Drosophila melanogaster: one gene and its partners. The protein of the gene in region 1 binds, or shares a complex with, the protein of each later gene. Each region holds a gene or a part of one and is shown on either strand. Other genes may lie near its edges.

Region 1 (3,552 bases):
CCAGACAAGAGGTACAGCAGATTCAGACCGAGCAGCTTATACTTGCTCTCCGATTCGCCAATGATCTTAGCGTAGTCATAGTAATAGCACTTCAGCTGCGCCATGTAGCGCTCGAAGGCGAGCAGGTCCTTGCTGAGCACGCTATGCTCCACGGCCACCTCAAGCACGCTCCTAGCCAGGATCAATTGCTTCTTGGAGCTCTGGGCATCGTTTCCGTCCGTCGGCAGGAAGGCCATCTTCACGAGCGCTACTTTCAGTTGATCCAGCAGCTGGCCGCATTTGACGGTGTTTGGTGGCCGCTTTGACCACTCGGCGGTCAGTTCTTTGTACAGCGATTCCACGTTGGCCATTCTTTAGATTGGTATATTGAAGCTTAAATGTTTTCTGCAAATTCCCAAGATGATTTTCGCTTTTTTTTAGAGATGGCAATTGTTGTAGGGTAAAGCGATAGGACAATCGTTATCGGAACAGTTATCGATTGTCAAGTTACCACAGGGCTGGGAATATTATTTAAGTGTAAGTTTAAGTTGAAAAATACATTTTTTAGACGAACTCTATATAGTTTAACAGTTTACAACTGAAAGCTTTATGATTTGATCCAAGGGGTATTGTATTTCCTTTGTGCTTTAATATCGATATATTTTAACAAACTATCTAATGGAGTTTAAATCTAAATTTTCGCATTTAAGCTCGGACTGTTTATTCAATTAGTGATTGTCTCAGTATAGTTAAAAATTTCGGGTATTGAAATCACGTCTATTTGACCTTGGGCATAAGTTTTGTGTCAAGAATAACTTAAATTATTAAGCGATTCAGAACTCTCATTCTTTGTGGGTCTTTAGATGGTACCGCAGTTGCGTGTTCGTGAAATAGCTTTTGGAGCACTTGGTGCATGGGAACGGTCGCTCTCCTGTGTGGCTCATCATGTGAATTCGAAGATGCGCATTCTGGGTAAAACGCCTTAGGACATTGGGAGCACTTGAAGGGGCGTTCGCCTGTGTTGATTATTAGATGCCTTTTAAGATTGGAAGCCAGCGTAAAATTCGATGTACAATGGGGGCACCGTTTTTCAGTGTGTATTGCAATATGTCCCGAAAGATGCGATACGCTCTTCAAAGCCTTTGCTGCTAAGCAGCAAGTGCTGCTTAAGTGCTGAGTTTATCCAAAACCTCGTTGGGCAATGAGGACATTGAAGCAGCTTATCATTATCACGTCCTTTATTTTGCAATCTATGGTTTTCACAACTATCATAGTCTTCGTCTATTACCTCAATATTGACTTGGCTATTGGATTGATCGCTGTCACAGTCCACGAACTGATCATCGTCTTTAAAGAGGCTCGTTCTACACTAGACAACATTCCCATTGGATCATGCCACTGCCTCGCCAATCTTCAACTACACTTTCGAGTTCGACAAAATGCTGAAAAGCACCTCCATCGATACTCGATTCCCCATCCTCGGAATAAGATACCTTGCGGAATCGGGATTCCTCCATTAACTAAACGTAAAATTATTAGCTCCTCTGGTGGGTTTTTCTAAACTCGAACGCATTTTGTGCATCTTGGCAGCAGGAGGTGCAAAATGTTTCGGGTAGATGATCGCCTTTTTCCACTTTGAGGCCAGTGCACTCGGAAATGATTGACGCTATTGAAGCTTCAGTGCCGTGCTTAACTTCAAAAATATTGAACTCGTTTTCACATTGCCCGAGGCAAATTCGGCACACCAACCCCAACTCCATACCTCCGAAATTGAGTTAAAAAATTTAGCGATCTCGCTTTCAGGTCGGATCGATCAATTTATTGTTTGTTTATTGTGTTAAAGATGCATGCTGATAAGTATCGATACTATCGTGCGGTTAATGGGGACGATAGGTACAACACCACTCACAATAAAGTATTTTTAGTGGAAAGTATAAAAAGAAGACTTCAATTAAAACAATAAATACAATACAATTACATTGGAAGTATTCTGATTGCATTGTGAATGTTGGCCACAAAGTATGAAAACTTTTTTCAGCTTTACTGAATTTAAATATTTCTTAACCATTTCGTTCGCTTTCAGAATAATATAATACCCAGAATGACTTCATAAATTTTATCACATCTTAGTTTGAATGTACACCTTTTAGCGATAGTTTCATGTTTCGGCCTGTGCTGCTAAGCGGTGATTCGCCTGCGCTTTCCAACACACAGCAAATTCGCATAAAAGCGAAACTTGGTTCTTCCTTTAAAAACGTGATACTTGCCTGATAGGATAGAAAGCCGAGATGTCCGACGAGACGAACGCCGCGGTGTGGGATGACTCCTTGCTGGTGAAGACGTACGACGAGTCGGTGGGACTGGCCCGCGAAGCTTTGGCCCGCCGCCTCGCCGATTCCACCAACAAGCGCGAGGAGGAGAACGCTGCCGCAGCTGAAGAAGAAGCTGGCGAGATCTCGGCCACTGGTGGGGCTACCAGCCCGGAACCAGTATCCTTCAAAGTAGGCGACTACGCCAGGGCCACCTACGTGGATGGTGTGGACTACGAGGGCGCTGTGGTGTCTATTAACGAGGAGAAGGGCACCTGCGTACTCCGCTATTTGGGCTATGAGAACGAGCAGGAGGTGTTGCTCGTGGACCTCCTGCCGTCCTGGGGCAAGCGTGTGCGTCGCGAGCAGTTCCTTATCGCCAAGAAGGATGAGGACGAGCAGTTGAGCCGCCCTAAGGCATCCGCTGGTAGTCATTCAAAGACTCCCAAGTCATCCAGAAGGAGTAGGATCTCTGGCGGACTGGTTATGCCGCCCATGCCACCAGTACCGCCCATGATTGTCGGACAAGGGGACGGCGCCGAACAGGACTTCGTGGCCATGCTCACCGCCTGGTACATGTCCGGCTATTATACGGGCCTCTACCAGGGAAAGAAAGAAGCCAGCACCACTAGCGGAAAGAAAAAGACACCCAAGAAGTAATTCCATCTTATCTCATCATCACATCACATCTTTTCGAAAGACTTGTAGATATTAAGAAAACAGAACGATTAAATTTATTATATTAAAGAGTCAGTATCGTCATGGTGGGATCTCGTTTCAATTGCTACATAAATGGAAAAAAAAAATGCCGAGGCAGGCAGAAATTTAGGTTGACATTCAATATGGCCACTTGAGAAAATCAGTGCTTCGATACATTTCGTAGCGAGCGGTTGAGTTTGTAGTATAACGGAATTTTCATAACCTTCGATAGATCGTAGAATGGCGATATTTTAGCTGGCAGTATACAAATCAGAAAAGAAAAAAAACGGATATTTTGATTGGTAAGCAGACTTTCTTACACTGCAATAGATTTCTTTAACTTTGGGTATCGTGTAGCTGTTTTAAAATCAGAAGCTGAAAAATTTTATTGATAAAAAATAAGATATAATGATAAAGAGAGTACATGGTAGTATTGCCTAATTAACAAACTAGCTAAAAATGCGCTTGGACCTTTTAACCGTCCATATTCAACACTGCCAAATGCATCCTTTATTTTCACAGGCTTACGATTTGAAATATAAGTGGTAAATCCTTCTCTTTTGCA
Region 2 (5,562 bases), on another chromosome or scaffold:
CTCTTTCACAGAATTCCGCCAGAGGATCTTAAACCAAGTGAGCAAATTGAAGCACAAGGACTTTTGGATCATCTACCTTAAAGAAGACACCTTAAAGGACACACGCTCCTTTCTCAAATTGCTAACTCAGTCCAGTGCACAGGAGGCTAACGATCTCTTCAACAAGCTCCTTAAAAAAAGGGCCGATTGTGCTGTTATGGGCGATCTTAGCGATGCAGTGGTCAAGGTGAACAGCGAGTCCGCTTTCATGGCCTTTAGATTCCTATTTCGAGAATATTTGATCGCCTTCCGGAGCCACGCCAAACACAATAAGACCATCACGAAGCGCCAGCATTGGGATCATTTGATGGCCGTTGTGGCCAAGGCTCCATTCTCCATTCGCAACGAGATTATGGAGCTAGCTAGTAAAGCCTTCGCTGTGCGATTCGGCATAAATATCCAGGAACAGCAGGCGGCCAAGTGTTAAGGAGATGCTGTTAGAAGTGTAATTTTCTTAAGCCAAATCGAAACACCGCCGCTAATCGACTAAAGACGTACATATATAATAATCATAACGCTAGGATGATGTTCAATCCAGATATCAGATTATTTTACAATTTTGTATGTCCTTTAAAAGGATGACTGTATGCACATAACATATGTACTACTGCCTTGCAAATTTTTTGTCTATTTAAAAAATACTTTGGCAAGCAAGTGAAGTTATTCAGATGAAAACTATTGCAATTTTGCATGTTCTTCATATTATTCGTATAATTATGTATTATATACATACATACATATATAAAATACAAAACGCTATGATCGAACATCAGAATAATATGTGTGAGGAGTCTACGTCCCCACAAATCTGGGTGCAGGGGAGCGGCCTTGGACGCCAGGAAAGCGGAGAGACTGTGAACTAACGGTACCGCGCTGGACCTTGGACTCGAGCCTGCCAAGGGCACGGAGGTCGAACAGTAACGGTGCGGACTTTGGACACGCACAAGAGGACACACATTGTGAACTAACGGCAAATTAGTTGGACGCGCAAAGGGGAAAATAACGGGATCCCCGCGGCCTATAAAGGAACGGCGCAAGTGCAGCTTGGGGCAGTCAGTCACAACACGCGAGGAGCCACACGTACGCGAGGATAGTCGAGGAGAGTACGGGCGCGAGTCGAGCCGTCAGGAGGCGGCCGCGCAATCGGAACGGCGTCTAAAGAAGAGAGACAGTGCGTTAGAACGCGCGGATACTACCATCAAGTTTTTTGTCTATTAAATAAATACTTTGGCAAGCTTGAAATTATTGTAATTTAGCATGTTCTTATTATTATTCGTATTCTTATGTACGAATTCCAAATCTATCTCTCGATTTCAAACTCAAGTGCCGCATGCGAATCGCATTATTTTAAATACTTTTGCTAAATAGGACCACTGTTTAAAAAACTGCAGTTGACTTTGGAGAAGTCGCAATATTTATAATGTCAATTATTAATTATCGAATAAAACATTACAATAATAATACAAATAATTAATTATCGAATAATACATTACAATACTTTATAAAATATCTTCATTTAATTTTCAGCTGAGCAAAATACAAAATATCATATGAAAATGTTTATAAATAAAGTTAAAGTTAAATCATAGCATGCAGTGGACAAGTCATATTAGTATCTATCTACATCAGAGAGTCTATTACAAAGCGAAATTTTTTGTTGTAGGGACATTTTCATTTTCAAAAAATATTCCTTGCACGCAAGATAATCGGTACGCACCGGTAAACTATCGATTTTCGATAGTCATCTGACAGAAGACGCACATAAAATTGAATTCCTTCGGAAGAGTTTTGACGAAACGCGAAATTTCGGCAGCACGATGATAACTGCTGAGAAGCACCCGCTGGACAATTGCCAGTTGTTTGTCCAGCTGAAGAAAATATTCCATGACAACAACGAACAGGCCAAGTGTCTGAAAGATATGATTTACTGGAGTGGTAAGTGAAGTACCAGAGGTTAGTGCCCAAATATGAACATTGTTTGTTCTCAGGAAACGATGAGCACATTGAGAAGATCTGCGACCAAGTGACGGACCTGCTGGAGGAGCACGATCTAATCATACAGCCGCCAGACACAATGGATCCTTTTGCTATGAATCAACTGCGTGGACTACTGGTGTACCTGGTGCTGAACACCGCACACGACTATTTCTTGTGCAAATCGCAGTGGAGCGCCAATGTCATGCATTTGTGTAACCAGCTTCCGCCTATCCCACTGTTCTTGACCATCGCAATAGCCGTTAACTGCTGTCTCATGGAGCCGCTGGAGGAATTCCTTGCTTGTGGACCCCGCTGGCTGACCATCCAGTATTTTGAGGCATTCAATGAGGCTCTGTCGGTCATTAATTCAGATTGCGTGGAAACACTACCGCTGCTCTCTGCCGCCCTCAGAGCAGCCGGTCGCGCAATTGTCAACTGCAATTTGCCCGCAGAAAATAAGCAACTGCTGCGCCAGATAGCCTGCATGGAACATCGTCATATCTTGGACTCTAAACAGCGCCTCCATACGCTGCCGCGTCCATCCACTCGAAAGATTTACCTGGCCAAGGCTATGGATCACCTTATAGAAGTCCTTTTGTATACCCTCAATGATCCATTAAAGCGGGAGAAACCAAATTGCTTCGCCGTCTACAGCCAAATAACCGAGGACATCAGTGACAGCAACTCAAGCGATCCCATGCCTGATCTGCGGCATTTCGCCCAAATACTGCTAGACGTTCTGCAGCGTATCTTTCAGCTCGTTAGCGTAGACACGTATATGTATTGGCATGAAATGAAATCGAAAAGTGCTTTGTATAACTGCCAGGAGCTAATCTGTAGACAGACGGCAGAATTGCTTAAAGTACTCCAATCAGATAAGTTGCTCGGAGAGCATCCGGTTTGCAAGCAGATGCAGAGCTTTGCGGATGCAGCAAAAACATTGGAGCAGCGCGTTGCCGAGATGAGAATGGGTGAACTCTTAGTCTTTCTCGATTCCGGTATGGCCACCGATGAGGAGTTGCTCGCCGGGCTGGACAATCTCTTTAGCCGCTTCATAGCCTTTGGTAACGATGAGTGCGTGGAAACGATGGCAAATCATTTAATTATGCTCACCAAGAAACATGCCCAGATAATACTCAGTTTCCTGGGTCAGGTGGTGGAGTCCGAAATGGTGGTCGAGGACGAGGGCATATCCGTTACGGAAGTAAATCAGGGGGATGACGAGGACGAGACCTCGTCCAACGATGATTACGAAGAGCTGCTAAGCCTAGTACTGCGTCCCTTATTTATGCAATTAAATGTCGAGGACAAGATGGAAGTACTGCTATTGCGCGATGAGCAAAACGTTACCCAAGGATTTAATTTCAAGGCTCCCGATCATCGGGAGCGTCGCATACGCTTCTTTAATCAATTGGATTATAATAAGCGCTTCCCGATAACCAAATTTCTAGTACTGTGCTTTGAGAACGCAAGACAGACCTGGATTGATTTCTCCCACTTGGGCGTGACGCATACTCGCTTCTCGAAGCTATTCTGGCACATAGCTCAGTCTTGTCCCAAGCATGCTGCTTTTCATATTTCCGCCTGTGCCGATAACATCTTGGTGAACGAGCAACTACTTCAAAAGCCGTATGCCTTGCAGTTTACACTCTACCTATATGGCCACCGACAGATCCTCAACGGTCTCTACACGTCAGCGCGACAACTGTGCGTTAGTTTGAAAGACGGACGGTGTCCCTACGGAGAGGATGAGCTTAGGCAGGCGCAAAATAGGTTCCTAGACGCGTGTGCCTACGGTTTGGCCAAGTTTATAGAGCCCATGAACTTGCCCAGCTTGCAGTTAATCTTGAAACTGCTCAAGCAGATTAGTCTGGGTGAAAGCAATCTAATCACCCGAGGCACTGCAGAGTTAAATGCACTCGAAAAGGAGCACCCGAAATTGGAGAACGGAGACGATGCACCAGCTGTCAAGGTGGCCAAGCACTACACATATCTGAATGCCAGCTTGCCAGAGTGGCGTTTGAAACACTGGAAGCTGATCTCGCATGTCATGAAAACCATTGATGCCCTACGCTGGGACTTGGCCACCTTTGAAGATTTCCGGGTGGATAATTTAGAACTGGCGGTGTGGTATTGGCAGGACGGTCTGTCTCATCTGACATTCCTAGGCACTGGTGCGCTCTTATAAATGTAAGTCCAAGACGAAAGCCTACTAATTATTGCTCTTTCACAGAATGCCGCCAGAGGATCTTGAACCAAGTGAACAGTTTAAAGCACAAGGGCTTTTGGCTCATCTACCTTAAAGAAGACACCTTAAAGGACACACGCTCCTTTCTCAAATTGCTAACTCAGTCCAGTGCACAGGAGGCTAACGATCTCTTCAACAAGCTCCTTAAAAAAAGGGCCGATTGTGCTGTTATGGGCGATCTTAGCGATGCAGTGGTCAAGGTGAACAGCGAGTCCGCTTTCATGGCCTTTAGATTCCTATTTCGAGAATATTTGATCGCCTTCCGGAGCCACGCCAAACACAATAAGACCATCACGAAGCGCCAGCATTGGGATCATTTGATGGCCGTTGTGGCCAAGGCTCCATTCTCCATTCGCAACGAGATTATGAAGCTAGCTAGTAAAGCCTTCGCTGTGCGATTCGGCATAAATATCCAGGAACAGCAGGCGGCCAAGTGTTAAGGAGATGCTGTTAGAAGTGTAATTTTCTTAAGCCAAATCGAAATTCCGCCGCTTGTCCAACACTTTAATTCTTAGGCAGTCAGATCTCTATATGACTAAAAACATATATAATATTCATAACGCTAGGATTGAACATCAGAATAATTTGATATCAGATTATTTTACAACTTTGTATGTCCTTTAAAAGGGCGACTGTATGCACATAACAAATGTACCACTACCATGCAAATTTTTTGTCTTACTAAAAATACTTTGGCAAGCAAGTGAAGTTATTCAGCTGAAAATTAATAAAATTTTGCATGTTCTTTTTTTTTCGTATTATTATGTATTATATATATAATATACAAAACGCTATGATTGAACATCAGAATAATTTGATATCAGGTTATTTTACAACTTTGTGTGTCCTTAAGGCCGACTATATTTACATAAAATATGTAATACTACCATCAAATACAAATTTGTGTTCTATTAAATAAATGCTTTGGCAAGCTTAAAATTATTGTAATTTTGCATGTTCTTATTTTTATTCGTATTTTTATGTATTACTTCGACTGCTTTGCTTCCTGTTGCAAAATTGTAACTTAAAACTAGGAAAATTTATTTTAATACATTTTTAAATTTCATGTACTCGTTATGTTATAAATTTAACTAATTTATATTCTGTCAAAAGCTGAATGGCATTATTCAGGGAAAGGAAAATTTTGGTGCAAATTGTTATTAATAACATTTTCAAATTACCTAAATAAAAAAAAAAATAGAAAAAATATCTTGTCTTAAAAAACACTATATATATTTTACAAGGTAATTTAACGACCAATGCTTGACAAGTATCGAAAAGATTTCAAACTCAAATGC
Region 3 (6,379 bases), on another chromosome or scaffold:
CGGGCAATTTCTCCTCGTCCACGCGGTCTGCTAGCTTCCAGAGGACCCGCGAAGTTTGCGCCACCAGGCGATGAAACGGAGCCACCAGCAATGTAAGATTGGCGGCATATTGCCGCAGCACATCGTCTGTGGTGTTGCCAGCGAGCAAGCCGGCATAGGTGAAGCCCACAACGTACACAGAGGACAGCTGCTTCTCAGACTCCAGACGGTACAGTTGCTCCACAAGCGACGGACTCACCTCCTCCGCCCGAATGTACTGGGCCAGCATATGCAGCTTCTTGTCCTCGAAACGGGCTGAGCCATCAGTCACCGAGGCGTTATTGTCCTCCTCGTCGGCCATTTCATCCGCGGCCAATGGCAGGCGAAGTTGCTCCACAAATCGTTCGTAGAGCAGCCGTATACTCTCGTCGCCAATGAACACAAAGTTGTTCTTGTTGTCGAAGAAGGCGAGGTAACGCAAACAGCGCCTTGTGTCACTGTAAATAATGAGAATTTCGGTTTGGGTGACTCATTAATTGGGGGGTTATCTTGTCGGGAATGTGCGTTGATTACTCACGTGAGGGAGTACTTGTGCACCATGCAACCGTACGGCTGCCACTCGTTGTCGCCCTTAAATCGGCCCTTGGACAGCAGCCACTGGCAGGAGTCACTGCCTGCGGGAGAACAAAACAAAACAAATCAATATCCATAATAAGCATACGATGGCAGCCAACATCCCAAATATGAACTTTACATGTCGTTTATATTAATCCAACCAACTGCAGAATTTGTACACTAATCTTAAAATTCGACATGATTATCTATATTTACATAAACGTTTGAGATTAAAAGTTTGTAAAAACCTTTTTTACTATTTAAAATGTACCGAATATGGTCAAACGTCAAACTGACTCATTAATAATATGAGAAGAATAAGTGAACATTGGTATACAATTGTGATCTTAAAATGGGTACGATTCCGTATCCACATCCATTATAAATTTCATAGTACTTAGATCTTTAAAGATCTTGTAACCTTGGACCCACCGTATTTCCAGTTGAGCAGGCCGTGATAGACGATGAAGCCGAGGACCAGAAGCAAAGCCACCTTCTTGGCATTGGTGGCGTTTAGTTGTTCCATAAATATATCCGCTCTGGTGGGCATACGCTGTCCTCCGGCGGCGCCTCCAATGCAGATGCCGCCTAGTTCGGGACTAGGGGCTCCATTCACTGACACTCCGGGGGTTCCGGTTGTAGCTGCTCCAATGCCTCCTACGCTTCCACCATTTCCACCGCGCAGTTCGCGTAGCTCCATAATTTATAAGCCGTCTGCCGCCTTCTCCACCGCCACCACCAAACGGTCTGCGACGGAAAGTCTGGCCTATAATATAGATAATTTGGCCTATTGCATGGGCATGTTTTAACCCAGTTCCGCTTGTTCCTTAGGCAGCGACCGACTCCTCCTATCGCTTGCTGTTTCGCTCTTGCTTGGCTTTTATTTTACTTTCCTTTAGCTTTTGCTTCGCCGGCCGATAGACAACCGCGTCTATCGACCGCCACCCACAACACAAAACTATCGACACCGAACAGCTGATTTGTCTGCATTGTGGGCGAACGGGAAAGATCGTTAATAATATCAATTATCAAATTTCGAAAAACACAATACTATACTTTATAGCAAATATACATTTATTTTTTTACCATTTAAGCATTAGCTTTTGCTTTGCCGGCCGTTAGGCAGCCGCGTCTATTGCCCTCCAACGCAATACAAGACTATCGATAACGAACAGATGATCTCTCAGCATTCCTGTCGAAAGGGAGGATCGTTAATAATATCAATTATTAATTATCGAATAAGGCACTACAATACTTAATTTATTTTTCAGCTAAAAATATTTACATATCATAGGAAAAAAATTAGAAATAAAGTTAAATAAATAGGAATAAATCTACATCAGAGAGTCCATAACAAAGCGAAATTTTTGTATTCGGGACATTTTCATTTTCAAAAAATATTCTTCGCACGCAAGATAAGTGGTACGCAACTATCGATTTTGGATAGTCATCTGACGAGAAGACGCACATAAAATTGAATTCGTTCGGAAAAGTTTTGACAAAACGCGAAGTTTCGGCAGCACTATGATAACTGCTAAGAAGCACCCGCTGGACAATTGCCAATTGTTTGTCCAGCTGAAGAAGTTATTTCATGACTACAACGAGAAGGTCCAGCGTCTGAAGGACATGATTTACTGGAGTGGTAAGTGAAGTACCAGAGGTTAGTGCCCAAATATGAACATTGTTTGTTCTCAGGAAACGATGAGCACATTGCGAAGATCTGCGACCAAGTGACGGACCTGCTGGTGGAGCACGATCTAATCATACAGCCGCCAGACACAATGGATCCTTGTGCTATGAATCACCTGCGTGGACTACTGGTGTACCTGGTGCTGAACACTGCACACGATGATATCCAGTGCGAATCGCAGTGGAGCGCCAATGTCATGCATTTGTGTAACCAGCTGCCGCCTATCCCACTGTTCTTGACCATCGCAATAGCCGTTAACTGCTGTCTCATGGAGCCGCTGGAGGAATTCCTTGCTTGTGGACCCCGCTGGCTGACCATCCAGTATTTTGAGGCATTCAATGAGGCTCTGTCGGTCATTAATTCAGATTGCGTGGAAACACTACCGCTGCTCTCTGCCGCCCTCAGAGCAGCCGGTCGCGCAATTGTCAACTGCAATTTGCCCGCAGAAAATAAGCAACTGCTGCGCCAGATAGCCTGCATGGAACATCGTCATATCTTGGACTCTAAACAGCGCCTCCATACGCTGCCGCGTCCATCCACTCGAAAGATTTACCTGGCCAAGGCTATGGATCACCTTATAGAAGTCCTTTTGTATACCCTCAATGATCCATTAAAGCGGGAGAAACCAAATTGCTTCGCCGTCTACAGCCAAATAACCGAGGACATCAGTGACAGCAACTCAAGCGATCCCATGCCTGATCTGCGGCATTTCGCCCAAATACTGCTAGACGTTCTGCAGCGTATCTTTCAGCTCGTTAGCGTAGACACGTATATGTATTGGCATGAAATGAAATCGAAAAGTGCTTTGTATAACTGCCAGGAGCTAATCTGTAGACAGACGGCAGAATTGCTTAAAGTACTCCAATCAGATAAGTTGCTCGGAGAGCATCCGGTTTGCAAGCAGATGCAGAGCTTTGCGGATGCAGCAAAAACATTGGAGCAGCGCGTTGCCGAGATGAGAATCGGTGAACTCTTGGCCTTTATCGATTCCGGTATGGCCACCAATGAGGAGTTGCTCGCCGGGCTGGACAATCTCTTTAGCCGCTTCATAGCCTTTGGCAGCGATGAGTGCCTGGAAACGATGGCAAATCATTTAATTATGCTCACCAAGAAACATGCCCAGATAATACTCAGTTTCCTGGGTCAGGTGGTGGAGTCCGAAATGGTGGTCGAGGACGAGGGCATATCCGTTACGGAAGTAAATCAGGGGGACGACGAGGACGAGACCTCGTCCAACGATGATTACGAAGAGCTGCTAAGCCTAGTACTGCGTCCCTTATTTATGCAATTAAATGTCGAGGACAAGATGGAAGTACTGCTATTACGCGATGAGCAAAACGTTACCCAAGGATTTAATTTCAAGGCTCCCGATCATCGGGAGCGTCGCATACGCTTCTTTAATCAATTGGATTATAATAAGCGCTTCCCGATAACCGAATTTTTAGTACTGTGCTTTGAGAACGCAAGACAGACCTGGATTGATTTCTCCCACTTGGGCGTGACGCATACTCGCTTCTCGAAGCTATTCTGGCACATAGCTCAGTCTTGTCCCAAGCATGCTGCTTTTCATATTTCCGCCTGTGCCGATAACATCTTGGTGAACGAGCAACTACTTCAAAAGCCGTATGCCTTGCAGTTTACACTCTACCTATATGGCCACCGACAGATCCTCAACGGTCTCTACACGTCAGCGCGACAACTGTGCGTTAGTTTGAAAGACGGACGGTGTCCCTACGGAGAGGATGAGCTTAGGCAGGCGCAAAATAGGTTCCTAGACGCGTGTGCCTACGGTTTGGCCAAGTTTATAGAGCCCATGAACTTGCCCAGCTTGCAGTTAATCTTGAAACTGCTCAAGCAGATTAGTCTGGGTGAAAGCAATCTAATCACCCGAGGCACTGCAGAGTTAAATGCACTCGAAAAGGAGCACCCGAAATTGGAGAACGGAGACGATGCACCAGCTGTCAAGGTGGCCAAGCACTACACATATCTGCATGCCAGTTTGCCAGAGTGGCGTTTGAAACACTGGAAGCTGATCTCGCATGTCATGAAAACCATTGATGCCCTACGCTGGGACTTGGCCACCTTTGAAGATTTCCGGGTGGATAATTTAGAACTGGCGGTGTGGTATTGGCAGGACGGTCTGTCTCATCTGACATTCCTAGGCACTGGTGCGCTCTTATAAATGTAAGTCCAAGACGAAAGCCTACTAATTATTGCTCTTTCACAGAATTCCGCCAGAGGATCTTAAACCAAGTGAGCAAATTGAAGCACAAGGACTTTTGGATCATCTACCTTAAAGAAGACACCTTAAAGGACACACGCTCCTTTCTCAAATTGCTAACTCAGTCCAGTGCACAGGAGGCTAACGATCTCTTCAACAAGCTCCTTAAAAAAAGGGCCGATTGTGCTGTTATGGGCGATCTTAGCGATGCAGTGGTCAAGGTGAACAGCGAGTCCGCTTTCATGGCCTTTAGATTCCTATTTCGAGAATATTTGATCGCCTTCCGGAGCCACGCCAAACACAATAAGACCATCACGAAGCGCCAGCATTGGGATCATTTGATGGCCGTTGTGGCCAAGGCTCCATTCTCCATTCGCAACGAGATTATGGAGCTAGCTAGTAAAGCCTTCGCTGTGCGATTCGGCATAAATATCCAGGAACAGCAGGCGGCCAAGTGTTAAGGAGATGCTGTTAGAAGTGTAATTTTCTTAAGCCAAATCGAAACACCGCCGCTAATCGACTAAAGACGTACATATATAATAATCATAACGCTAGGATGATGTTCAATCCAGATATCAGATTATTTTACAATTTTGTATGTCCTTTAAAAGGATGACTGTATGCACATAACATATGTACTACTGCCTTGCAAATTTTTTGTCTATTTAAAAAATACTTTGGCAAGCAAGTGAAGTTATTCAGATGAAAACTATTGCAATTTTGCATGTTCTTCATATTATTCGTATAATTATGTATTATATACATACATACATATATAAAATACAAAACGCTATGATCGAACATCAGAATAATATGTGTGAGGAGTCTACGTCCCCACAAATCTGGGTGCAGGGGAGCGGCCTTGGACGCCAGGAAAGCGGAGAGACTGTGAACTAACGGTACCGCGCTGGACCTTGGACTCGAGCCTGCCAAGGGCACGGAGGTCGAACAGTAACGGTGCGGACTTTGGACACGCACAAGAGGACACACATTGTGAACTAACGGCAAATTAGTTGGACGCGCAAAGGGGAAAATAACGGGATCCCCGCGGCCTATAAAGGAACGGCGCAAGTGCAGCTTGGGGCAGTCAGTCACAACACGCGAGGAGCCACACGTACGCGAGGATAGTCGAGGAGAGTACGGGCGCGAGTCGAGCCGTCAGGAGGCGGCCGCGCAATCGGAACGGCGTCTAAAGAAGAGAGACAGTGCGTTAGAACGCGCGGATACTACCATCAAGTTTTTTGTCTATTAAATAAATACTTTGGCAAGCTTGAAATTATTGTAATTTAGCATGTTCTTATTATTATTCGTATTCTTATGTACGAATTCCAAATCTATCTCTCGATTTCAAACTCAAGTGCCGCATGCGAATCGCATTATTTTAAATACTTTTGCTAAATAGGACCACTGTTTAAAAAACTGCAGTTGACTTTGGAGAAGTCGCAATATTTATAATGTCAATTATTAATTATCGAATAAAACATTACAATAATAATACAAATAATTAATTATCGAATAATACATTACAATACTTTATAAAATATCTTCATTTAATTTTCAGCTGAGCAAAATACAAAATATCATATGAAAATGTTTATAAATAAAGTTAAAGTTAAATCATAGCATGCAGTGGACAAGTCATATTAGTATCTATCTACATCAGAGAGTCTATTACAAAGCGAAATTTTTTGTTGTAGGGACATTTTCATTTTCAAAAAATATTCCTTGCACGCAAGATAATCGGTACGCACCGGTAAACTATCGATTTTCGATAGTCATCTGACAGAAGACGCACATAAAATTGAATTCCTTCGGAAGAGTTTTGACGAAACGCGAAATTTCGGCAGCACGATGATAACTGCTGAGAAGCACCC

Evidence for each region. Proteins that work in one complex are often made in the same cells at the same time.
Region 2: Smn (region 1) and Gem4b share a complex: the UniProt entries of both Drosophila melanogaster proteins name them as parts of the core survival motor neuron (SMN) complex.
Region 3: Smn (region 1) and Glos share a complex: the UniProt entries of both Drosophila melanogaster proteins name them as parts of the core survival motor neuron (SMN) complex.

The regions. Positions count from the first base shown.
Region 1 is NT_037436.4:16,579,898-16,583,449, reverse strand, and holds Smn (survival motor neuron), read left to right. Parts: upstream 1-1,902; 5' UTR 1,903-1,998; intron 1,999-2,062; 5' UTR 2,063-2,267; coding exon 2,268-2,948; 3' UTR 2,949-3,052; downstream 3,053-3,552. Other genes in the region: Rpn12 (regulatory particle non-ATPase 12), read right to left, coding at 1-350. UniProt on the Drosophila melanogaster protein: Core component of the survival motor neuron (SMN) complex that plays an essential role in spliceosomal small nuclear ribonucleoprotein (snRNP) assembly in the cytoplasm, is required for pre-mRNA splicing in the nucleus and acts as a chaperone that discriminates target and non-target RNAs of Sm proteins.
Region 2 is NC_004354.4:3,939,204-3,944,765, forward strand, and holds Gem4b (gemin 4b), read left to right. Parts: upstream 1-1,643; 5' UTR 1,644-1,856; coding exon 1,857-1,974; intron 1,975-2,027; coding exon 2,028-4,190; intron 4,191-4,249; coding exon 4,250-4,704; 3' UTR 4,705-5,062; downstream 5,063-5,562. Other genes in the region: Glos (gaulos), read left to right, coding at 12-466. UniProt on the Drosophila melanogaster protein: Component of the survival motor neuron (SMN) complex that catalyzes the assembly of small nuclear ribonucleoproteins (snRNPs), the building blocks of the spliceosome, and thereby plays an important role in the splicing of cellular pre-mRNAs.
Region 3 is NC_004354.4:3,934,704-3,941,082, forward strand, and holds Glos (gaulos), read left to right. Parts: upstream 1-1,813; 5' UTR 1,814-2,118; coding exon 2,119-2,236; intron 2,237-2,289; coding exon 2,290-4,452; intron 4,453-4,511; coding exon 4,512-4,966; 3' UTR 4,967-5,879; downstream 5,880-6,379. Other genes in the region: CG2938 (uncharacterized protein), read right to left, coding at 1-476, 557-653, 1,027-1,294; Gem4b (gemin 4b), read left to right, coding at 6,357-6,379. UniProt on the Drosophila melanogaster protein: Component of the survival motor neuron (SMN) complex that catalyzes the assembly of small nuclear ribonucleoproteins (snRNPs), the building blocks of the spliceosome, and thereby plays an important role in the splicing of cellular pre-mRNAs.